Linked DNA regions of Cricetulus griseus. The protein of the gene in region 4 interacts with the protein of the main gene of each other region in a pairwise test. Links are inferred from orthologs where the notes say so. Each region holds a gene or a part of one and is shown on either strand. Other genes may lie near its edges. The genes, in order: Rfc5, Ube2w, cyclin-dependent kinases regulatory subunit 1, Xiap, Ppih, Ssx2ip and protein N-terminal glutamine amidohydrolase.

Region 1 (4,261 bases), on a different chromosome or scaffold from region 4:
TGTGTGTGTGTGTGTGTGTGTGTGTGTTAGAGTAAAGGGAATGGGAGAAAGGGGAGGGGAGGGGGAGACTGGCCTCCGGGGACAGGATCAGGAGAAAAGGGAGGGAGGCAGAGAGACTGGGGCGGCAGACAGAGGTGGGGAGGTAGACAGGGCCCTTTTTAAAGGGAATGTAGTGAATGTGCACAATTGGTGCTCTTTGGGGCTGCAGCTGAGGGCCTATCCTGTCAGAATCCCAAGGGCAGAACAGTACAGATGCCTGAATACTAACAAACTCCAGGTCAGTTGAGGCTACAAAGTGAGACCCTGCCTTAAAATAAAAGCAAGCAAATAATAATAATAATAATGATAATGATAATAATGATAATAAAGGCTTTATTGTGGATGTTATACACACTCCTTATAGAAAAGACAGAGCAGCAAAAGAGGTGAAAGTTGGGCTGTTGAGTTGGCTCAGTGAAGAGAGGTACCTTTGGCCAAGTAGCACAAACACACTAATTAATTAATTAAAATGAATTTGTTTTTCAAGACAGGGTCTCACTATGTAGCTCTGGCTGCCCTGGAACTCAATCTGTAGACCTTGAATTCAGAGATCCACCTTCCTTTCCTCCCAAGTGCTGAGATTAAAGGTGTGCACAACCATGTCTGGTGCTGAATAAATTTTAAAGTTGAAAATAAAATTGGTCTGAAATCCTCTTGATGTAGGGGAAAATAAATGTATATGTATATATACATATGTATATATACAAACACACAGATGTCTTCATGTGTATGTTTATGTGTGAGTGTGTGTATGTGAGTGTACATGTATGTGAATGTGTTATATGTATTCATGTTTGTGTGTATATATGTAGCTGTGTGTATTTGTGTGTATATATGTCTGAGTGTGTGCTTCTGTATGTGTGACTGCACGTGTTTATGTGTGTGCATAAGTGTACATGTATATGAATGTGGGGATATATATATGCATCTGTGTATGTATGTTTGTATATGTGATTGTATTTTCGTGTATATGTCTATATGTGTATGTGTATGTGCGTGCAAATGTGTTTATGTGTATGTGAGAGTATATGTATGTGACTGTTGTGCATATGTTTGCATGGATGTATGCTTGTATATGTAACTGTGTTTTCGTGTGTGTATTTGTGCGCACGCGTGTTTGTGTGCTGCTGGTTATGGAACCCAGGGCGCACTGCCTGTACCCACACCCGCGGAAGTGTTTCTGGCTGTGGAACCTGCTGCTCCATTGTGGCTTGCCCTTGCGCTGGCAGGATGTGGTCCTGGTGAGGCCCGCGGTGGCACCGGCTGCGGCGCGGCGCGCGGTCTCCCTGGACCTCCTGCGTGGCTCAGACAGCCCGCTCCGGCTGGAACAGCCAGCTGTGGCAGGGCAGCCGGCCGGCGCCTCGGGTTACCTAGCAACTAGAGCCCTAGCAACAGGGAAGAGGCCGGCCGGAGGCAGGAAGCCGGAAGCGGGAGGCGAAGCCTCGCGAGGATTGGTTTGCGCGCGGACTCTGAGTAAGGCAGGTCGGTGCCCCGGGCCCGCAGCATCTGTCAGTCATGGCGGCGGTGCCTCCGGAGCAGCGGCCCGCGGCGGCCCGGGCCCGGAACTTGCCCTGGTAGGAGCGGCCCCGCATCCTGCTTTCCGCCCTTCTTTCTAGAAGCTTTACGACCCCCTTCCCGCTCCCGGCCTGCGGCCCGCGTGGGCACTGCAGACACCCGGCCTTGGCGCCTCAGCCTTGCCTGCAGCCGCCCGCTCCCCCGCTCCCATACCCAACAGTCATGCTACCGAGGCCTGAGCGCAGCTTAGCCATCCTCTGATGCCTAGAGCATCGCCAATGCCCTTTGATGACCCTAAGAGATCGATCCTGACTTTCTTTAGAAAAGCTCAGAAACTGGGGGTAGTGCGTAGGCTTGCATTCGACCGACCTCAGGTATCCGAATTCAGCGCTTGCTTTCTTTTTTCCTTTCATATTACCTTTTATTTGTGGGGGAGGGGAGTGTAGCAGCGCACTCGTGTGGAGGTCAGAGGACAACTTACAGGACCGGGTTCTTCCCTCCCAGCAACTTGGATCCCCGGGATCGATCCCAGGTTCTCAGACTTAGCGTCAAGTACCTTTGCTTGCTGAGCCATATCGGGCCCCAGGACTTGCATTCTGAACGGTCCTACAGCAGCTGTCTGGCCATTCTTACTACTTTTCTGGTCTGTGTCCGAGGAGGAAGAATTGTCGTGGGCCACACATTAAAGTCACAGGAATGGAGTCACAGACTGTGACCTTTTGAGTCTGGCTTCTCCAACTCAAGGTTGCTCCATGCTGTAGCATGGCCTGGCTAAATCATAACTTACTTGTGGATATTTGAGTATGAGTTCTTTTCAAAGTCACATGCCTATCCAAGTTGAAGCTCAGTGCTGTTGACTTGGGGCCCACTGTGGGGGTGGAGCCCAATGTAGGATGTTCAGCCACTCCTGACTTCTACTCACCAGATGCCACTAACGCCCTCTGCCCACTTATTACAGCTAATGGCCTGGCAGATGTCTCCCGGGGGACAGAACCCACCACTGGTTGTGAGAGTCACTGGCTGTATTGAGATGGGAAGGGTTTCTCTTCCTCTCCTGCTTGGGATGTGAAGGCGTTTCTTTGCATGCGGCAGAACATGGCTTGCATCTGTATATGCTGCTGTAATTTGTGTTGAATCCCATTTCAGGGTTGAAAAGTACCGACCACAGACCCTGGCCGATCTCATTTCTCACCAGGACATTCTGAGTACCAGTGAGTATCCCTGTCGGTTGTTGTCCTTGTGGGAGGGCTTGGATACATTTGGTGTTGATGCTGTCTCTGCTAGGAGACAGTGTAAAGGAAGGACTGGACTTTGTAGGATGGAGTGTATTGGTTCCTTTTCCATAACTGCACTAAAATACCTCCGAGGACAAATTTTTAAAGATAATTATTTTTATTCTATTTTTTGTTTAGGTGTTTTGTTTACACATACATGTCTGTGTATCATGTGTGCCTGGTGCCTCTAGAGGCCAGAAGAGGGTATTGGGTCCTCTAGAAGTGGCATTGTAGGCAATTGTAAGCTACAGTGTAGGTGTGTAGGTGCTAGGAACCTGTAAGAGCAGCAACCACAGGCGGGCATTGGTGGAGCACACCTTTAATCCCAGCACTCGGGAGGCAGAGGCAGTTGGATCTCTGTGAGTTCAAGGCTGACATTGTCTCCTTACTCCCGCCTTAGTTCAGAAGTTCATCAGTGAGGACCGCCTGCCACACCTACTTCTCTATGGCCCTCCAGGGACAGGAAAGACATCCACCATCCTGGCCTGTGCCAAGCAGCTGTACAAAGATAAAGAATTCGGCTCCATGGTCTTGGAGGTGAATGGGACATTCTCACTCCACAAGTAGCTCAGACCTCCAGACTCTTAGCTTTCATTCCACTAGTTTTCTTTACCTTCCTGGCCTCTGTGTCCTGGTTGGGTTTGGCCATCGAGATCTGAGTGGGGGCAGGAGGGGTTAAATAGAGATGTTATTTGGACTCACTAAGGTGTTAATACCGGGCAACCTCCACTTCCTACAGGGCTCAAATCAGAGGCCGTGCCCTCCCCACAACCTGTTCTACCTGCCCACAGCTCTTGTTAACCCCCCCTAGATTTAGGGGTGCCAATTAATACTGCATAGCCCTGTAGCTTCTCTAGAACTGTGGTTCTCAACCTTCCTAATGCTGTAACCCTTTAACACAGTTCCTTGTGCTGTGATGACCCCAAACATAAAATTACTTTCATTTTTACTTCATAACTGTAATTTTGCTAGTTATGAATCGTAATATAAATATTTGTATTTTCCAATGGTCTTAGGTGACACCTGTGAAAGGGTCTATTAGATGTCCCTCCAAAGGGGTCATGACCCACAGATTGAGAACCATTGCTGTAGACTCAACAAACACTTTTAAAATGTCAGTTTCTTCATCTGGATCATCTTAGATTACTATACTGAGATATGTAGTCTGTGGATGTTGGGACCTTGGCTGATAATCTTAATACCCTTAGATTACAAAAATCTGAATGTTATGTTGGAAGAAAAGCATTTGGGGGACTAGGGATGTAGCTCAGTTGGTAGAGACTACCATACACAAAGTCCTGGGTTTGATCCTTAGTTGTGGTCATCTTTAGGCTATGTGAGTTCAAGACCAATCTGAGGACAAAAGACCCTCACTCAAAAGCATTTGACTTACACAGTAGACATGAGGCTCAGCCCTTTGTAGTCCAGTGTTC
Region 2 (4,029 bases), on a different chromosome or scaffold from region 4:
AGCAAAAAAGATAAAAAAACACATAAAAACAATCTGGACAGTGGTGGCACACACCTTTAGTCCCAGCACCTGTGAGGCAGAGGCAGGCAGACAGCTGAGTTAAGAGGACAGCCTGGCCTACAGAGTGAGTTCCAGAACAGCCAAACCAAAAAGATGATTGACTGATAGACAGACAGACAGACAGATAATTATAACCTCAGCTTTAAATTTCATATCCTCTAGTAAGAAACTGAAAGACCGCCCTAACTTGATTTTATTGCATATAAAAATTATTCCATTGCTATCAAGTGATCAAATCCCACATTACATGTGCACAGTATGGCTTGTTTTTAAAATACAGCTCCGACTGCAGCATAAGTAATCTCTTCTTCAGCAATAATAATAACCCCCTGTAGTAAGATATGGAAATCTTATCTAAAAATACTTGCTGAGTTAATGAACACCTTTGATTACTTACATTGTTGTGTTTGTTTTGAAAAGAGCTAATTCCTGCTGTGAAAATGGTCAGGAAATAAACTTTGTACAAAGATACAGAAATAAAAAGAAAACACACCAAAGTGTCCTTCAAAGAGTCTGCTACGGAGCTGGAGAGATAACTCAGTGGTTAAGAGCAAGAACAACTCTTGCAGAGGAGCCTGGTTTGGTTCCCAGCACCACACATCTGGCAACTGGAAAGCACCTGTTACAACTCTAGCTCCAGTCAATCAGAAATGGCCTACACAGACACCTGCATTCACATGCACACACCCACACCATAAAAATAAATCTTCCTCAAATGTTATTTCCCGAAAAAAATTATCAGATAATTTGAAATACATACAAAAGGCCAAGATTTAACCTTAATTGAAACAGAAAGGGTCAGTTCCCCATGCTAATCAGAAGACAAAGGAATGAAAGCCTGGTGCTAGAGTCTAAGGTAGTGATTGAGGCTCAGATCAGGCATAAAAGGCATTTTCCCCACTATTGAAGACACAGAGTGAATACCAAATATCCATCTCTCTTATATACAAACCTGCTTTTTCCAAATACTTGAAGTGTAGTAAAAGTTAACCAGCTCTCCTGCCAACGCCAAATACAATCCCAAGTGTGTGGATTTTAATCTTTATTTTTAGTCTTAAATCATGCCTGTTATCTTAAGACAGCTCATCTTCGAAAGGTCATAATAAACAATGTCTTAATACCGATAAAAATGTTAAAGCAATCATATAGCCCATCTGCTGTCCAACTGGTGCTCCACAGTTCCGTTTTTGGCCTCAGATGACGAAACTTCTCTAACGTCTCTGGGGAGAGTGTAAAGTATAACGTTTCCTGAAATTGTTCTTGTTTTTGCTGCACCATTTCGTGACATCTCTTCAACTAGAAATGTTACTTGCAGTTTTATTGTTCTGCAGGAGAAGCCAGAGGGACACGCAAAGGCAAAAGCAGAGTATTTTAAGGAAAGCAGGTTGAAAGACACAGTGAAAAGGGGGGAAAATGCGCAAGAATGAAAAACATTTCCAGCACAGAGAAGCGCCAACAACGGGATCTTGCTTATTCTTCTAGAAACAAAAGCCAAAAATTCTTCTAAGGAAAATGTGGTTTCTCTCTTTACTCAAGAGGGTGTAAAACTCCAAAAGGCGTTCCGCTGACTCTCTACACAAGAGTTCTACCCGCTCTCCTTATGTGCTTTAACACGCTAACCCTATCTGTACATTAAACGCCAGCTACAGATAATGCAATCTCTACAAACTACAACTGTAGTTGCCATCTTTGCCTGGGGAAAAAAAAAAAAGATTTTTTTTCTTGGATTTGGAAGGGGGAAAAAAGGAGTACATTAAGTTGGAAGGCAAGAAAACCACCATCAAGAGATTGATAGGGCACGGGTTAACAGGCACCTTCTACCAAACTAAGGTTTTAAAGGTCTGGGGAAGAAGGGCAAAGCCTTACCGAGTCCGCAAGGGTGGGGCATCCTAAGGGAAAAAAAATATATTAAGAGCGAGTTTCTCCAGAGGCCGAGGAGCAGGCCCACGAGCTCGCACCCAGGGTGGCACAGGACGCTGGGGACGCGGGCGAAGGGCGGCTTCGAAGGAGACGTGGGCTGCCGGGGAATGCCCCAGAGTGCGGGCTGACAGAAGGAGGCACCCACGGGGCACGGGATGAAGATCGAAGAAGAGCTAGCAAGGGCCGTGCGTTCCGAGGCTGCGCGTGGGAGGCCGGGCAAAGGCCGCGGAGGGCCGTGGGCAAGCGGCCGTCCTCGGCGAGGCGCTCCCCGGCTGCCCCGCGTTCTGCCAGTCTCGGGCCGCTCGGACCGCGGGCGACGGCGGCGGGCACAGCTGTTTCCACCCCGCCGGGGAGCGCAGGGGGAGGGGAGAGAGGAAAGCATCTCCCCCGTGGCCTGGGAGCCAAGCAGCGGCCGTCCTCGAGCGGGGGCGCGGAGCGGAGCCCCCACCGCGGAGCGCACGCCGAACTTCGCCCTTTCTTCCCCTCAGCCGCCTTTATGCCACAACTTCGCGGCCGCGACTGTCCGCGGCCACCGGCCGACACCCCCGCTCCGCTCGCCGACCGGTGATCCCCGACGCTCTGGGGTCAGGGAAGGCCACCGGGAGCCTGGGCCGCGGCCCCGGACGCCGCCCCCGCGCCGACGCTCGCCCCGTCTCGGCGGCCCCCACGCCCGCCCCGCTGCAGCAGCTCCGCTCACCTGCATTGACGCCATGATGAAACCATCCCCCCAAGGCCAGCGAGGCCAGAGACGCAGGGGGCGGAGCCGCCGTGCTCGCGTCACGCCGCGGGGGCCCAACATCCCGGGCACGGGGTGGAGTCGCCGATGGGAAGGGGCCGGCACGTCCGATTGGCTGTGGCGCGGGCGCCCGGGGGCGTGACGGGGCGGGGCGTGGTGGGGCGGGGCGGGGCGCCTTGGGTACCTCTCATCCCAGCCAGTTTACACGCTGGCCCACCCTCGCTACTGGGTGAGGCGCAGCTCAGGTTCGAACCGCAGCAGTACTCCCTAGATCATGAAGCTGTCTGGATGCGCGAATTTTTTGGTTGTTTTTATTTTCTTTTGGTCTCATTCTGTTTTCCTAGCTACAGGTGTAAGATTTGTAGTTTTTTAAATTTATTTTTTAATCCCCCTTTGTATGCCTTTTCTACACCTACAGCTCTTCTTCTGAGCCAGATAAAACTTCGCGGGGGGGGGGGAGGTGCTCTCTAGTCTTTGCAGATCCAGGAGGCTATTTCTAATTTGGGGGTTGGGGGGAGGAACAGAGAGTCACAAATTTCCTTATAGAACAGAATGAAAACTGAGAGCAGGGCAACGCTGTCATCTTAAAGGCAAGAGCAACTAGATTTTTTGTGCTGAAATGTAGTGGGAAGGGAAGGAGAAAGAATAATGTTTTCTTTTGTGTGAGATTTTCTAGCTTCCTTACCCAACCATCTAAATTGCAAACTCCATGTGTATCATAGTAGTCGTTGTTACATCAGTCTATTTGATTAGCGATTTGACTCTAGCCACAAATTCTCATATATTAGCTCACGTTGTGCCATGTCTACATTTCTCTTCAGCCAATTCTGTGGTGGGCAGTTTTGTGATCAGCCAACCTATGAATGAGTTTGGGCAGGAAACACTGAGCATACAGAATTTATTCTAGGCATGCACCAGTTCTGCCAACATTTATCAGAAGTCACATTTTTAAAGCTCTTCCAGAACCAAAGATGTCTTTTGGTTTATAAAAGAAAAAATGGAAGGCTAAAGCTTGCACCTCCTGTCCTATCTCTAAAAGAGTCAAGGAGGCTGGCATGTCGAGTAGATAGATGGCTTTTGCTTTACCCGAAAGTTTAAATCTTTCTTTTTATTGACTTGCCTTCTTTTTTAGACATTTCTCTACGATAGATATAAATATAATGGCAATGTAGAATATCACTCTTCACACTTAAGATAGATCACGATGTTCTCTGGGAACATCCGCAAGGAAATGTGTTCACAAAAGGAAAAAGATCTTTAAAATATGCAGTTATTCTATGGCATAATGTTAACACAGTTTATCTTTACCAAAG
Region 3 (2,250 bases), on a different chromosome or scaffold from region 4:
CTAAAGTGGCTAGCCTCAGGTGGTTCAACATCTCAGACTGCTCTAAAGCGACCTGCACTTTCCCAGCCCCAGGTGGTCCCACAGAACCTGGGCAGTGAGGGGAAACAGATGTGTCGTCCCCCCTCCCCTCCCCACCAGCCTGTACTCCTCTCTTCTCATTCTTTGGCCATCATTCCAGCCTTCCTGGGCCCCAACACAGATGCCATTCCAGCAGGAAGCAGTAATAGAAAAGATTCCATCACCCTTTATCACCCACAAAAGGCTGGAACGTTAGATCTCACAGAAACCACAGACAAATGGCTGAGGTGCCTCTTTAACATATCAAAGCTGATTCTGGTGACCAGTCTCTCTCAGTCCCTACTCACAAATAACCTGTCACAGAGTCATCTTGAGTGGCATATGCTGCCCCCTAGCCTCAACCTCTCTTCAGCCCATGGTCTGGGTTTCTCCTCCCCCAGCCTCTGATCCCCCTATAATCTCAACCTTTTTGAGCATGCAGTCTCTTGGTCTCTTGGTTCCCCTCTTGGCCTCCTCCTTTCTCCACTCTTCTCTTCCTCTCACTCCTACCCCTGCACCCCTTCTCTCATGGCACAGTTTATATGGACCCTTCCAGATGCCTCTGGCTGTTGTCTCCCTCATATCTACAATAAATCTTGTCCTCCACCATATCTGGAGCAGTCATGTCCTCATTTCTTCATTCAGTATATAGTCATGCTTTGCTTGGTGATGGGAAGATTTCAGAAAAAAAAATATATTTTAGGGGATTTTGTAGTTCTGCAAACATTCTGTAGCATATTTGCCCAGAGCTGGCTGGAGGTAACCCATTACTAGAGCAATAAGACAACAAAAGGAGATCAAGGGGATACAAATTGGAAAGGAAGAAGGCAAATTTTCACTATTTGCAGATGATATAATAGTTTACATAAGTGACCCAAAAAATTCTACCAGGGAACTCCTACCGCTGATAAACACCTTCAGCAAAGTGGCAGGATACAAGATTAACAACAACAACAAAAAAAAGGTAGCCCTACTATATATAGATGAATATGGCTGAGAAAGAAATCAGAGAAACATCACCCTTCACCATAGCCACAAACAACATAAAATATCTTGGGGGCTAACTCTAACCAAACAAGTGAAAGACCTGTATAATAAGAATTTTGAGTCTTTAAAGAAAGAAATTAAAGAAGATACCAGAAAATGGAAAGACCTCCCATGCTCTTGGATAAGTAAGATCAACACAGTAAGAATGGCAATCTTGCCAAAAGCAATCTACAGATTCAACATAATCCCCATCAAAATCCCAGCACAGTTCTTCACAGACCTTGAAAGAAAAATACTCAACTTTATATGGAAAAACAAAAAACCCAGGATAGCCAAACAACCTGTACAATAAAGGAACTTCTGGGAGTCATCAGGAGGCCGGCGGTGCGGGGCTGAGGGCCCTCGGGCTGAGCAGTCATGTCGCACAAACAGATTTACTATTTGGACAAATACGATGACGAGGAGTTCGAGTACCGGCATGTCATGTTGCCCAAAGACATAGCCAAGCTGGTCCCTAAAACGCATTTGATGTCTGAATCTGAATGGAGAAATCTTGGCGTTCAGCAGAGTCAAGGATGGGTCCATTATATGATGATCCATGAACCAGAACTTCACATCTTACTCTTCCGGCAGCCACTACCCAAGAAGCCAAAGAAATGAAGCTGTTGAACCACCTTTCAAACTCAAGCTTTACACAGCTGTCCTTCCTTCCTACACCTTCTGATAGCATGATTATGTTGCTTTCTTATTTCTCACTTTGACATTTAAAGGATGTTTGTTCAAAACATTGTTTGATTGTGTTGGTACCTGCTTTGCTTCTTGAGCTGAGCCACCAATGCCACAACCTGTCAGATGAGTGTGACCTCAAAGACCTGGTGTGCTCTTTATCCAGTAGGCATATCCATACTTGCCATCTCTGGGAAGCATGTGAAAATCAGATCATGGCTGTTACAGGGATAGTGTGAATTTCCTGTTGTGGTTTTTACTATTGGGTATTGTATTTATGGTGACTTACGGATTTATGTTTCAATATATTGGAAACTTTCCATTTTATCTGACAAATCTCTTCCATGTTACAAGCCTTGATTAAAGGAAGTTTTTATAATATAAAAAAATAAAAAAATAAAGGAACTTCTGGAGGTATCACCATCCCTGACTTAAAGCTCTATTATAGAGCTATAGTTCTGAAAACAGCTTGGTATTGGC
Region 4 (2,720 bases):
AACCATTCATACAAGTATGTTTATAAATTTGAAAGAAAATGGACAGAATCCAAAACACAGACACAAACATCTACAAACCAATGTTTATCCTCCCACCAGTGTGGAACAGTGTATTCTCTGTTCACAATAAACAGAGCAAGTGAATGGGTAGATTAACTCAAATCTCCCTGCTTATACAGAACACTCCATTTGTTAAGCTTATCCAAAAGGAATGAAAAATGATAGTGATTAATTCACTTACACATAGAAATCAAGTCAGTGTACTACAAATACACAAGGTGAAAAGTTATAATATTAAATGCTTCTTTGTCTAAGGCTTTAATTGAGTAAAAAACTGGATAAACGATATAGCTAATAACCTGAAAGTTCCAGAAATCCAAAGTTTAGACAGTACCAGTGCTGTTAACATTTGTTTCCACTTGGCAGCAGATGCTAATGGAATGCAATGCTGATTACTTAAAGTTTGCTCACATCACACATTCAATTAGAGTAAGAAGAGTATAACATGCCTACTGTTGCTCTCAATTAAGACATAAAAATTTTTTGTTTGAAGGTAATGATTGTGTAGCACATGGGACATTTGTCAACTGCTTCAGCACACTGTTTACAAGTGACCAGATGTCCACAAGGAACAAAAACTACAGCAATATTTCTATCCATGCAGATTTTGCAAAGCTTCTCTTCTTGTAGGCGCCTCAGCTGCTCTTCCGTACTGATGTCTGCACAAAGAGAAAAACAACATATACTAGTTTGAGGGTTTGTTGTTTAAATTCATTCAAACACTGAGACCTCCTGTGTGCCAGACACTCAAGATTTGGGAGACACGAAAATGACTCACACATGGCACACATTCTTAAGTAGTTTGTATGCTAGTGGGAGAGGCTGTGAGCTGCAGCTAGAGAGGTAAGTACAAAGTATAAAGTAGTCAGTGCTGTAATAAAGTTACAGACAAAGGGCTCTGGGGCAAGAAGAACAAGTTTTCCTGTCCAGCTGGTTGGGAAAGGAACCATGAGGAGGAGGAGGACCATGGTGGAGCAACAATTTGCCAGGCAGAAAAGCAAGGATGAAGTAAAAGTCACAACATACCTGAAGAGCACTGATAATTCTAGATGTAAGGGCTAAAGAGAGAAAGAGGAACTAAAGTTGGGTTTGCTAATGTATCAAGGAGATTGTGATAATTACTGGAAACATAAACGGAGATGGAGGGTTTGCATTTTCAGCTACGTTTGAGATGTTGGCAGGGCATCCAAATAAAAACATGTTTGAGTATGAGTAGCATATATAGGACACTGAAGTAGCTGCATAGTTGAACTTTTGTCAAAACAGTTTGGTAAAAGTCTAACAAATATGCCACAAAACTGTAATTGTAGTCATATATAATAGCAACAAAATTAATAGTAATAGAGCATAAATACTGTGTGCTAGGCACTACAAATAATTACATATTTTAACTATCTTTGTAATCACTGTATACTAATGGTTTTGTGTAAACTTGTGTTTCTCCTTTGGTGTATGTGGAGGTAGGGTGGGAGATGTCAGCGATGTTGGATATGAAGTCCAGGGTATCGTATAGCATTCACTGTACCACATTCTTGCCTCTTACAGCAGTTTGTCAAAAACAAGTTTTCTTTAAAAAATAATTTATTGCATTTTATTTATATTTGTGTAGGCGTGTACATTACAGCACATATGTGAAAGCCAAAGGGCAACTTTTCAAGACTTGGTGCTCTCATTCCACCACCTAGGTTCCAGGATCAAACTCAATCAGGTCTTCAGGCTTGGAAGCAGGTGCCTTTACCCACTGAACAATTACACCATCCTCTAACTCTAAAGCTTCCGGTACTAGTCACACTGGCACGTGGGGACATTTTGTGTATGTATACACATTTATGGAAACATACAATGCATTTCCCTATGTAACTATGTAGCTCCTTTAAAAACAAGCCAGGTGTGGTAGTGTGGATCTCTGTGAGTTCCAGGCCAGCCTAGTCGACAGAGAGAGTTCCAGGACAGCCAGGACTACACAGAGAAAGCCTCTCTCGAAAAACTAAAAACCAACAACCAACCAAACAAGAAACTCAATAAAACCAAAATGAAACAAAAACAGGATCTCACTGTATAGCTCTGGTTGGCCCGGAACTCAGAGATCCGACTGCCTCTGCCACCTGAATGCTGGGATTAAAAATTTGTGCTAGCATGCCTGACACCATTCCTTTTTATGGCATTTAGTGTCCTAGAGGGAACAGTATTTACCAAACTTGTGTATATAAGTGTGCTTTCGTGTGTACATGAGGGGTAGAAACTTGTTAGTTATCTTTCTCAATTGCTCCTCTATATTATTTTTTGAGACAGAGTCTCTCTCTGACACTGGAATTCACTGATTGGCTACACTGGCTGGTCAGGAATCCCTGAGGATCTGCTTGTCTCTCTTTCTCATATACCCAGTGTTGGGGTTACAGGTTCACACCACATCTGGCTTTTAGGCTAGTCTGAAGATCCAAACTTAGGTCCTCATGTTTACAGAGCAATTTACCCATTTAGCTGCCTCCCCATGACAATAATCTTTAATGCTTAAAAGCCTATGTTTTCTTCCAACATAATTTAATGTATTTTCTTTTGCTGTTGATGTTTTCAACAGGTCTTACTATGGAGCCAGGCTAGTCTGAAACTAGTTATCCTACAGCCTCTCCCCCTGATTATGGAGATTATAAATGTGGATC
Region 5 (3,960 bases), on a different chromosome or scaffold from region 4:
CCTGGTGGAATCCACTCAGGCAATACCCTGGTCAGCCCAAGGTTCCATGGGAAAGAAGTCTGCACGCAGGTGCAGAGGACCCCTTTAAAAGATAGGCCCCTGCACCTTTACGCTCTGTCTGTCTCTCTCTCCCCGTTTCTCTGTTTCCCCGCTCTCTCTCTCTATGGCGACCGGCCATGGCGGTCAGCCATTACCCTGTTCCTCTTCTTAGTCTCCCCATTCTACCGGGCCTTATAATAAACTTATAGTCAATATGTCTGTCTCAATATTTCTCTTTTCTTCTTTTTAAACAAAAGAATAACATGCAGGATACCCAGTTTGTCGCATGGGTGCTGGGATGCCCTGATCCTCCTGAACCATCTGTTCAACGCCAGTTCCAAAAGGATATGGCAAACCATGTAGGTAATCCCAGCATTTGGGACGCTGAGGTAGGAATATCGTTGAGCTCAAAGCCAGCCCTTGATAAGCAGCAAGACTGTCTCAAAAACATTTAAGGTGAAAAAAAAATATTTTAGAAGAGACAAAACTCGAATCAAGGCCTTAAAGGACGTAGCAATCTAACGTCTCCACAACCGAGCCAGAAAGGGTAAAGAGTGGTAGGCAGGAGATGAGGCTAGGTAGTGTGAGGTCTCTACTTTCAGGTCTTCGCTACCAGCGGTGGCAAATAAATGGCATTCGGGCCTTCGTATACACAGCTGGATTTACGTTAAATATGCAAATCCCCCACACACGATTTACAAGCACAAAGGTTGTTTCTTAAACTGCAACTCTGTGGGAAATGAGTTGGAAGCTTGCGACAGAAATGAAATCACATTTCCAGGATCCCGAATGAGCCAGCCTACGTAACATTTTACAACACGGAGGGTGATTCTGAGGGTTCTCCCCTCGTGGGTGCCGCCTCGGGGGCAGGGGACACCCAGTGTGACGGCTCAGCAAATGCTGTCTGCCGGTCACTCATTTGTACTGCACTAGTACAGTCACGCGAGTAGGGAGCCCGCCGCCTTCGGCGAAGATGCCTGCACTCCCTCGCTTCTGCGCCTTCTCCCCTCATCCCCGCCTTCCCTCAGAACCGACCCGCTCTACAACACCAGTGTCCGCCTTCCCGGCGGTCCGCGCCGCGCTTCCGGGGGCGGGGCCCAACCCCGGTCGGTTTCCACGGCCCCTGTGCTTTGGCTGAATTCAGCAAGGCCGGTCCCCGGAAACTGGACTTCTACTTCCGGGTCAGAGCCATGGCGGTGGCAAATTCAAGTCCAGTCAATCCGGTGGTCTTCTTTGATGTCAGCATCGGCGGCCAGGTGAGGTGCGGGAGGCCCGGCGGACCTGCGCGGCTGGGCAGGACACGGGTGAGGGAGGCAGCCGAGACTGGCTGGGCCAGGGCGGCCGAGGTGGGCGCTTCCGAGCTGCGTGGGCTGCGGTCGTGGACTGAGCCTTCTTGCGTCTCCCGTCACTTGCAGGAGGTTGGTCGCATGAAGATCGAGCTGTTTGCAGACGTGGTGCCTAAGACGGCAGAGAACTTCAGGTGAGGAGATGCTCCACTGAATCAGCGTGGCTGAGCCCGAAGCCGGCCTCGGGGCGCTCTTTGCAATGTCTGCCTCTGTCCATCCGTCCACTGCCTTGTGCTCTGTGCTCTGTGTATTATTGCACTGGCCGAATAGCTACCGGGTTTGACCGTTCCTGTGTCAATTTGTGATATTAGTTTACATGGCTGCATGCCCTGACATCCGGCCGACCAGTTAGTGGACTTGCTGGCCCCACTGTTTGTACCCTCATCTCCCGATATTAGAGATGCTCCGGGCAGCGATGGCATGGTAACTGTTCATTGTTTCTTTCCTTTTAGGCAATTCTGCACTGGAGAGTTCAGGTCAGTCTCAGATGTGTTTGACCTCTATTCCTCCTACTCCTGAAGGGTGTCCTGGAGGTTTGGTGAGGGTATTGGGGAACCATGGGCAAGTCTTGAGTGGTGGAAGATGATATTCAGAGGGTGTCTTCTTTATCGATGCGTTCTTTAGCTTGCTTCTATCCAAATCTTTCTGAGAGTCCTTTTAGCCTCCAGTGTGTCCCAAACGGAAAGGACCCATGGTTATTTGTCATCACTCCAAGTCTTTCTTTTTGGTTACAGAAAAGATGGTGTTCCAATAGGATACAAAGGAAGCACCTTCCATAGGTAAGGCTTTTGGCAAACTGTTAATGCAGTCATCACTTGGTATCTGTGCAGGCAATCCTGAACACCTGAGTACACCTATGGTAGATTAGGTTTGTTGTTTAAAGTGTCATGTCCAGGGCTGAGGATGTAGCTTGGTGGTAGAGAATTTTCCCAGCATACCTGAGACCCTGGGTTCAATACTCAGCACCACAGGCACCGTAAGTCATCCTAGATGTAGAAATGATGGCAAGGAAAACACTATCAGTTGGGTGCAGGTGCAGTTCCATAGGCTTCTATACCCAGCTTTTATGTGGGTTCTAGGGATCTGAACTCAGGTCCTCATGCCTCATTAACAAGGACTTTACCCACTGAACCATCCCCCTGGTTCCAGGTAGAGGCTTTGGTAATAATTACTATTATCAGGCAGTCATCTGCAGGAACCTGACCTTCTTGAATGCCTTGCTTTCTGTGTTTACCAATTTTTGTTAGGGTTTGACAGAAGTTGTTCCACTTTAATCCTGAAATTTTTGTGTCATCCATATCAGGGGCTTTAGAATTATGGTCTTTAATCCTTCCCAGCATCCTTGTGAGGTAGTATGTGTAATCTGCCTTCTTTAAGGAAGGAAACTGGGGCTAAGAAAGGACTATGCCTGGGTATATAACAGCTTACATTACCCTGTGTGTGTGTGGCAGTCCATTTCACATATATTTGCTGTTGTTCTTTCTTTCCCCCCAGATTTTCATTAAGCCCTTGACTTTTTTTTTTTTTTTTTTTTTTTTTTTTTTTTGTAAATATGTTATTTCTTCCTGACAGGTTTCAGCCCTTTTCTGTTGTTCAGGTGCTCACTCATATACCTTAGATCAACACAAAGATGCCCCTGGAGCTTAAAACAAGTTATGGTTCGTAATCCCTCATCTTGCTCAACTCCAGGGGTGAAGACTCAGTCTCTAAGCCACGGTGATAAACATTGTACTTCAGAAAAAATTACTAAGCTGCTATGTTGGTGACCAAACCACTGAATCCTTCCCTCGGGAATTTTTTGTTTGTTTTGTTTTTACTCTGTTTCAGGGTCATAAAGGATTTCATGATTCAGGGTGGAGATTTTGTTAATGTAAGTACTGCTGTTTTTTCTTTGCTATTCTTCCTATAGGGCTCCAGTCTTGAGATTTAAGAATAATAGCTAAGTTAAATGGAGAGAGCATGGACTAGGGGATGCACTGTAGAATTGCTGGTACTGCTGACTGTGCCCTTAGAACATATACCAATACTAAACTTGAATCATTAACTCCCATTGTCCAAACCTGAGCTTTTTTGTTACCAAAAATTGGACTTTGCTAGTCTACCTATAGACAGATGATCTAAGACCACATTCTTTGACCACAGAAAACTTTGAAATTAGCTGCAGCCCCCCTCCCCCACAGGAAGTGAGCCAACTGCTTGTATGCCCTATTTTTCCTTCCACTTCTGGTGTCCCTCTCTAAAATTGTAGTTTTTTGTTTGTTTTTGTGGTCTGTCTTTTTTCCTTTTGAAAGCTGAGGGGTTTTTTTGTTTTATTTTGGTTTTTGTTTTGTTTTGTTTTTTGTTTCTCAAGACAAGGTTTTTCTGTGGTTTTGGAGGCTTGCCTGGAACTAACTCTCATAAGACTAGGTTGGTCTCGAACTCAAAAAGATCCGCCTGCCTCTGCTTCCCGAGTGCTGTGATTAAAGGCGTGCGCCACCACCACCTGGCTGATAACCACAAGCCAGTTAGTGGCAAGGGGTCAGGAGAGGCAGGCAATTCAAAGGGTGTTTGCTCTGCTTGCTGAGGTAGCCCAAGG
Region 6 (3,500 bases), on a different chromosome or scaffold from region 4:
CTTTTTAAAGAGCAAAAAAAGAATTTTGAGAGAGAAAGACGCAGCTTTACAGAAGCTGCGATCCGCTTGGGGCTGGAGGTGAGCTCTGCAGTGCTGCAGCCCCGAGCACAGGTGTCTGGGAGGGTGCAGGTGGATGCTCCTTGGATCCACTTCATCTGAAGGATCACACTAGCCATCCTACTCCCTGAGAAGAATGGTCAGAAATGACTACACTGTTAGTTTGGGATCTCAGCCATCCTCAGGCTGAGCTTTTAAGCACAAAACCAAAACTTGGGTTGACATACTTCAGTTAACAAGAACAGTTAGCCAGAGGCAGAAGTACAGAAGCCAGAAAGCAAGGCTAGTACATTTAGAGACTTTCCAAGAACTGTAGCTTTGGTGGACTAGATCTTTGTTTTGGTTTTGGCTAGAGGTGCTGTCCACATGCTGAGATCCATGGCCTGGGTGGCACTTCCATCATGGAGTCAGTTGTGCTCAGGCCTGGGGGCCTGCTCCATGACGAGTAACTGCAAATTGAAGGGAGAGGCTGAGCATATGGATGATCTCTGTTAGATACTCAGTTCCTTTTGGGCATCATGTGCTGTCAGAAAATAGTACCAACAGCATCCTTGGTTAACAGAAAAGAAAACACAGTAAAAGATTCTTTATCCCAATCCTTGTAGAGGATTGTATACAAGTTAGTGGTTTGGATTTTTGCATCATACATGTCCACAGTTTGCATTCTGTCAGCAATGCATTGCCTCCATAGTGCCCTTTCAAAAACTGAAACTTAAAACTCAACCTATACAAAATATTATGGAATGACACAGAGTCCTCTTTATCTCCAGTATCGTCCCTTAGAAACAACCACTGATTTTAAAAAAAAAAATGTCTATTGGAAGCTAGGCGTGGTACTCGCAGCTTTTACAGAGGACTGGCTGGCTTCCTAGCACCCACACCATCTGTAACTCCAGTGCCAGGGGAGGAGGCCATGGGCACCAGGTACACATGTAGTGTACATACATCAGACACATAAAAGGAAAACATTTTTAAAAGGTTAAAATGCCGTATGTTAAAGTTCTTAAAAAAAAAATGACCAGTGGACTTTTTTTTTTTTGTTTTATTTTGATGATTTTGGAGCAGTCTCTCCATGCAGCCTGTGCTGATCTAGAACTTGCTGTGCAGAACTGGCTTGAGTGATTAAGGCGTGTGCCACCATGTCATGTCGAGCATGGTGTTAGCTTTTCCCCGCCTGACTTGCTTGCTCCTTCTCTTTGCATCCTTATGAAATTGTTTTTATTGTCCACGGGCTGTCTTATGTATATCCTGCCTTATGTTATAAAATACCTATAAATGGCGCGATTTATCGAAAGTTGGGGCCTAAAAATTGAAAGCCAGAAACAAATGTTGATCCTATGATTATGTGGTATTACTCATTTCATAAACAAATAATGCATTTGAACACATAACTGATGGGGGTTGAATCCAGGGCCTCATCGTGCAAGGCTCCTGTGGCTGAGCCAGTCTTTGCTCTGAAAATACAGTAAGACTTTGCCTGCTGGAGAAGCCGTATTGCTCTCTAGTGTTTGTGCTCTAATCTGCCACATCAGACTCCATGGCTGTGTTTCTACCGCTCATGTTAGTCCTCTTGTTTTCCTTGGGAAGGCTGTGTCACCATCTTATATCACATTTTAAGAAGAAACACAGCATAGTGACAACTGAATATTGAAATATCTAAAACTATATTATATTGCATCAGCAGAAGCTGAAAGGATTATTTAGTTTTTGTTGCTGAGGAGAAGCTAGATGACAACATAGCCTGTGTTACTTTGTAGGTAATTTCATGGGGCACCTGCCCCTATGCCCTTCTGTGGAAGTTTATGGGATTTCTTTAGTTCTAATGTCTTCAGTAGACTACTCTTTAGAGACCGTTTCTTCTGCTTGTCTCCCATGTTTGACTTCTCCGTGCTGCCAGGTGTGTCCATGGCTGACATTGGGATCTTAGTTCTGGATATTCTCTTACATTATTCTTTGGATCAGTTTTAGTATTTTGTAATTTTCCTGTTCTTTGTACACTATTATTGTTGTGCATTTATGAGTCTTGTAATATATGTGACAGTATTTTCAGAACTCTTGAAACATTAGTATCAGCGGTCAGTTTATTATCTTGGCCCTTTTTCCTCTTCTGCCATTGGTTTTCTCTGCTGCCTGGTGATATTTGGTTTTACGCTCCCATTTATGAAAGACTCAGTCCTGGTTATTTTAAGGGCTGACACTGATTTTGTCCATAATTGTAAAGTCCCTTTCATCAGTAGTTGTCTTCCTCAGGCCACAAACTTGCCGTGTGTCCCTCCAGCTATCTGAGAGTGTGCCTACTTGCAGACACAGGTGACAGTGACAGATCAGACAGGCAGATGAGAGAAAATGTGGTTTAGGAGTCATCAGCTGACAGCAGAGCAGTCACTTGGTATGATCTGTGTGTCTGCCCTCTTGGGGCTCAGTAGCATGGCTAGAGGACGAAAGACATGCCTGATGTAGTCAGAAGCCTGTTTCCAGGCGACTGACTTATGAAGCAGGGTATTTTTCTGATAGCAGTCTCATGGTTGTATGTTCTTTGTGTTCAAAATCCTGCTACTACTCTGTTGGTGTAGTAAGTGAAATCTATGATTTGCTATTATTTAAATTATTTAAAAATGATATAGTGTAGGAGGGTGTTTTACCTGAATGTATGTCTCTGCTGCACATGTCTGTGCACCGTGTGTGCCTGGTGTCCTCAGAGGCCAGAAGAGGATCTTGTATCCCCTGGAACTGGTGTTACTGATGGTTGTGAGCCACCGTGTAAGTGTTGGGAATTGAACCCAGGTCCTCTGTAAGAGCAACAAGTGCTCTTAACCATTGCACCATCTTTTCAGCCCCCAGATTTTTTTTTTCAATATAACTTTCTCAAGTGTCTTATATAGTTTCTAGGTGACTATTTCATACAAGCAATGTACAGGTGGCCAGAGAGGAAGCAGCTGGAGAAGTTATGGGAAATGACAGTGAGTCATTGATGGTTCTTGGTTTGTTTGTTACCCTAGAGAAAGGCGTTCGAAGAAGAAAGAGCCAGCTGGCTAAAGCAACAGTTTTTAAACATGACGACCTTTGACCACCAGAACTCAGAAAATGTGAAACTTTTCAGTGCCTTCTCAGGAAGTAAGTGTCACAAGCTGTTGAATCTGAGTGCCCACCCACCCAGTGCAGAGGTGAGCTGTGTGCAGCCTCACTGTGTGCAGGCTGATCTCTGAGCAGAGGTGAGCTGCAGCCTCACTGTGTGCAGGCTGATCTCTCTGAGCAGAGGTGAGCTGCAGCCTCACTGTGTGCAGGGAACCTCTGTGCAGAGGTGAGCTGCAGCCTCACTGTGTGCAGGCTGATCTCTGAGCAGAGGTGAGCTGCAGCCTCACTGTGTTCAGGGAACCTCTGTGCAGAGGTGAGCTGCAGCCTCACTGTGTGCAGGCTGATCCCTGAGCAGAAGTGAGCTGCAG
Region 7 (3,500 bases), on a different chromosome or scaffold from region 4:
CCTGCCTAGCTACTGGCTAATCAGCTTTTTATGACACCAATCACAGCAATACAGCTTCACACTGTGTACAGATAGCCCACAAGTCTACCAACCCTACAGTCTACCAACTACAGTCTACCAATCCTATAGCCTACCAACTACAGTCTACTAATCCTACAGCCTACCAACCCTACAGCCTACCAACTACAGTCTAAACTACAGTCTACCAATCCTACAGTCTACCAACTACATTCTCCAATCCTACAGCCTACCAATCCTACAGCCTACCAACTACAGTCTACCAACTACAATCTACCAACCCTACAGCCTACCAACTACAGTCTAAACTACAGTCTACCAATCCTACAGTCTACCAACTACAGTCTACCAACTACAGTCTACCAACTACAGTCTATTAACTACAGTCTACCAATCCTACAGTCTACCAACTACAGCCTACCAATCCTACAGTCTACCAATCCTACAGTCTACCAATCCTATGAGGAAGGCATGATGGGAGTGACTGTTCATGGCAGCAGGAATACGAGACAATTGTTCCTCACATGACAACAGTCTGGGAGAACACAGGCTATAACCACAAGTAGGTACAACCTTCAAGGCCCATTCCCACTGACACGCTTGTACCAGCCAGGCCTCGGGTCTCAGAGGCTCCACAACCTCACAGAATAGATTCACCAGCTAGGGACCAGGAATTCAGACACAGAAGCCCGTAGAGGACTTTTCACACACAAACCATTATAGATCCCAAAACAAAAGTTAGACAACTATATGTCCACAGAGCTTCTGCCACAGACAGAATAACATCCATTCTCAAAAGATCCTTTTACTAATGACTGTCATGGCCTTTCTCTAGAGTCCTTTCAACTCTGCTTCACCACAGCATACTGGTTACTCAGAGGCCACAAGGAACACTGCATCAGAGGCTCTTAGGTGGCCAGCTTACCCAGATCACAGGTCCATTCCCAGGTCTTGCCTGCTGTTTCCAAATAGGTACCTACAAAACAGAGGACATTCGTGAGTCTCATTCAAACCCGTCTAGATTCTTTATACCACCAATACACTAGTAAGTAATAAACTATTCCTTAGTGGACTGGGGAGATGGGACAGCAGATCTCACACACTGGCCGCTCCTGGAGAAGACCTAGGATTGCTCCCAGCACCCACATGGCAACTCACACACTGGCTGCTCCTGGAGAAGACAGAATGCTCCCAGCACCCACATGGTAGCTAATAGACATCTCTAACTCCAGGTCCAAGGGATCCAAGCCCTTCTTCTGGCCTCTGCAGGCACAGTGCACACAAGGTACACAGACCTGTATGTAGGCAAAGCACCTGTAAACATTTTAAAAAATTAGCCAGGCATAGTTGCACATGCCTTTAATCCCAACACTCAAAAGCAGAGGTAGGTGGTCCTCTGAGTTTGAAGCCAGTCAGGGATACATAGTGAGACCCAATTTCAGGATAAATAGATAAATTAAGTTAAATTCTGAAGTCAAAAACGTTTCTGTTTCTAAGCAATCAAGGTGAAAGAATAAAATCTAAACCCTACGCGCAGGCACCCTGCACAGTGAGAGTTCACAAGAACTGAAGATACTGCAGTGTTCTCCAGAGAGCAAGGGGCCTGCACCAGGAAGCAGAGGCCAGGCGGGGTCAGTCCTCAGTTACTCATGAGCCCTCTCTGCATCTCATCTTCTTCACGGATTAGGTGGAGAAAGTTAGCAGGTCACGGAGGCTCGTGCCTGAAATCCCAGCCTCAGCTATGTGATGACTGTGAAGCTAGTGGGCTGAGATACATGCGACCCGTCTCCAAAACAAAAGTAAAGTCAATAAAGTAAAACAGAGAAAGTCGTTTAGACCCTGCCTATTTCATAGAACTTCTAAGAGCCCCGAATGAGGCAACGTCCACAAAAGTGTTTGGAAATCCCAAAGGGCTACTTCTAATGCTCCCTGAAAGTTTACTCCAGCTCTATTCAAACTTCAGACACAAATCTTTACTTCAAATCAGAGTTATATGGCTTAATTATACAATTAAAAAAGCCCCAAGCTAGACACAGAGCATGCCTATAAACCCAGTACTCAGAGGGTCCCCACAAGTTTGTGCCCAGCGTGGTCTACACAATGGGTTCCAGGTCAGCCAAGGTCTACACTATGAGACTCTGTTGCAAAAAGCAAGTTGCTTGTGCATTCTACATAAACATGCCATTACATACTTCATTACCTACAAGCAAGGGACCAAATTCTCCTGAACCAAATCTAATGAAGAAAAAGAAAGCTGTTTGAAAGGCTGCTGTTACAAAGCACATTTGAGAACAGAATAGCTTCCAGACTGCGCTGAGCTTCTGATGTCACCGCCATCACTCACCAACTTACCATCTTCTTCTCATTTGATATGAAGACAGCGGAACACTCTTCCAAGGGATACTGGTCATGGGTTTTGATGTATTCACAGAGCTTCCAAATGTTCTCCTCGCTAAAATAAAATAATTGTTTAATCCATATCATTGGAAAGGACCTTAACCACCTCATCAGAGAGCTGGGTAACAGTGACTCTCCTCTAAGGCACAGTCAACAAGCTGCTAGCCAACCTGTACTGTGCACGCATCCAGACAGAGGACCACACCCACTGAAGACTATGACCTGTAAAAGAGTGTGCCAGGATTCCAGAAGCTGAGAAACCATTGGGATCCAAACTCAACACTAACAAGAAAAGCAGCTTTGTATTCTGTCTTCTCTAAGAACCGCTTGTCTCCTCTATAAAATGCACGTTTTCACGTACACCATAACCCTCCAGAAATCCCAATTAATAGAGAAATGTCACAGGACTTTTTTGTTTGGTTGTTTTGGTTATCAAGACAGGGTTTCTCTGTGTAACTGACCTAACTATGCTGGAACTCTCTCGGTAGACCAGGCTGGCCTTGAATTCAGAGATCTGCCTGCCTCTGCCTCTGGAATGTTGGGCTTAAAGGCGTGCACCACCACCGCCAAGCTCTTGACAGAATGTTTTAAATTAGATTTGATATAGAATTTAGTCCCTTAGTTGTAGCTGACAAACTATATGATGGCATCTTTATGCAGACTGCGTCCCCTCCTTCCCTCCCTCCCTCCCTCTCTTCCTTCCTTCCTCCCTTTTTGAGACAAATGTCTCATAATGTAGACCTTGGCTGACCTGGAACTCGATGTGTGGACCAAACTGGCCACAAACTTGTGGTGACCTTTTGAGTACTTGTGAACTACAGGCACGCTCCATGTGTGGTTTAGAGCCTTGTTAATTGCATAATTAGAGACAGACAGACATGAGAGACATACATACACACACTACATACATACATGCATGCATGTTTCCAAGCACTCAACGTCAAGGTGAAGGCGTGTGAAGCCCGCTCCTAAGCGCAGGCACCCTGCACAGTGAGAGTTCACCAGAACTGAAGATACTGCAGTGTTCTGCAGAGAGCAGGGGGCCTGCACCAGGAAGCAGAGGCCAGGCGGGGTCAGTCCTGTCC

Evidence for each region.
Region 1: the proteins of Xiap (region 4) and Rfc5 interact in binary tests that used the Homo sapiens proteins (3 or more experiments, as listed by UniProt). The link is inferred for Cricetulus griseus from reciprocal best matches to the Homo sapiens genes XIAP and RFC5.
Region 2: the proteins of Xiap (region 4) and Ube2w interact in a two-hybrid assay, tested with the Homo sapiens proteins (2 studies listed by BioGRID and IntAct). The link is inferred for Cricetulus griseus from reciprocal best matches to the Homo sapiens genes XIAP and UBE2W.
Region 3: the proteins of Xiap (region 4) and cyclin-dependent kinases regulatory subunit 1 interact in a two-hybrid assay, tested with the Homo sapiens proteins (3 studies listed by BioGRID and IntAct). The two-hybrid records come from large-scale screens. The link is inferred for Cricetulus griseus from reciprocal best matches to the Homo sapiens genes XIAP and CKS1B.
Region 5: the proteins of Xiap (region 4) and Ppih interact in binary tests that used the Homo sapiens proteins (3 or more experiments, as listed by UniProt). The two-hybrid records come from large-scale screens. The link is inferred for Cricetulus griseus from reciprocal best matches to the Homo sapiens genes XIAP and PPIH.
Region 6: the proteins of Xiap (region 4) and Ssx2ip interact in binary tests that used the Homo sapiens proteins (3 or more experiments, as listed by UniProt). The two-hybrid records come from large-scale screens. The link is inferred for Cricetulus griseus from reciprocal best matches to the Homo sapiens genes XIAP and SSX2IP.
Region 7: the proteins of Xiap (region 4) and protein N-terminal glutamine amidohydrolase interact in binary tests that used the Homo sapiens proteins (3 or more experiments, as listed by UniProt). The two-hybrid records come from large-scale screens. The link is inferred for Cricetulus griseus from reciprocal best matches to the Homo sapiens genes XIAP and NTAQ1.

What each region holds. Positions count from the first base shown.
Region 1 is NC_048597.1:97,330,277-97,334,537, reverse strand, and holds the start of Rfc5 (replication factor C subunit 5), read left to right. Parts: upstream 1-1,461; 5' UTR 1,462-1,554; coding exon 1,555-1,613; intron 1,614-2,700; coding exon 2,701-2,765; intron 2,766-3,228; coding exon 3,229-3,365; intron 3,366-3,845; exon of another isoform or gene 3,846-4,261. UniProt on the Homo sapiens protein: Subunit of the replication factor C (RFC) complex which acts during elongation of primed DNA templates by DNA polymerases delta and epsilon, and is necessary for ATP-dependent loading of proliferating cell nuclear antigen (PCNA) onto primed DNA.
Region 2 is NC_048595.1:144,389,909-144,393,937, reverse strand, and holds the start of Ube2w (ubiquitin-conjugating enzyme E2 W), read right to left. Parts: upstream 2,801-4,029; 5' UTR 2,780-2,800; coding exon 2,678-2,779; intron 1-2,677. UniProt on the Homo sapiens protein: Accepts ubiquitin from the E1 complex and catalyzes its covalent attachment to other proteins.
Region 3 is NC_048596.1:133,402,906-133,405,155, forward strand, and holds cyclin-dependent kinases regulatory subunit 1, read left to right. Parts: upstream 1-1,423; 5' UTR 1,424-1,461; coding exon 1,462-1,704; 3' UTR 1,705-1,750; downstream 1,751-2,250.
Region 4 is NC_048604.1:25,900,718-25,903,437, forward strand, and holds the end of Xiap (baculoviral IAP repeat-containing protein 4), read right to left. Parts: intron 720-2,720; coding exon 526-719; 3' UTR 501-525; downstream 1-500.
Region 5 is NC_048595.1:32,848,508-32,852,467, forward strand, and holds the start of Ppih (peptidyl-prolyl cis-trans isomerase H), read left to right. Parts: upstream 1-1,160; 5' UTR 1,161-1,229; coding exon 1,230-1,295; intron 1,296-1,454; coding exon 1,455-1,519; intron 1,520-1,837; coding exon 1,838-1,861; intron 1,862-2,119; coding exon 2,120-2,164; intron 2,165-3,212; coding exon 3,213-3,255; intron 3,256-3,960. UniProt on the Homo sapiens protein: PPIase that catalyzes the cis-trans isomerization of proline imidic peptide bonds in oligopeptides and may therefore assist protein folding. Participates in pre-mRNA splicing.
Region 6 is NW_023276806.1:12,733,447-12,736,946, reverse strand, and holds part of Ssx2ip (afadin- and alpha-actinin-binding protein), read left to right. Parts: coding exon 1-78; intron 79-3,056; coding exon 3,057-3,171; intron 3,172-3,500. UniProt on the Homo sapiens protein: Belongs to an adhesion system, which plays a role in the organization of homotypic, interneuronal and heterotypic cell-cell adherens junctions (AJs).
Region 7 is NC_048603.1:29,479,147-29,482,646, forward strand, and holds part of protein N-terminal glutamine amidohydrolase, read right to left. Parts: intron 2,471-3,500; coding exon 2,371-2,470; intron 995-2,370; coding exon 944-994; intron 1-943. UniProt on the Homo sapiens protein: Mediates the side-chain deamidation of N-terminal glutamine residues to glutamate, an important step in N-end rule pathway of protein degradation.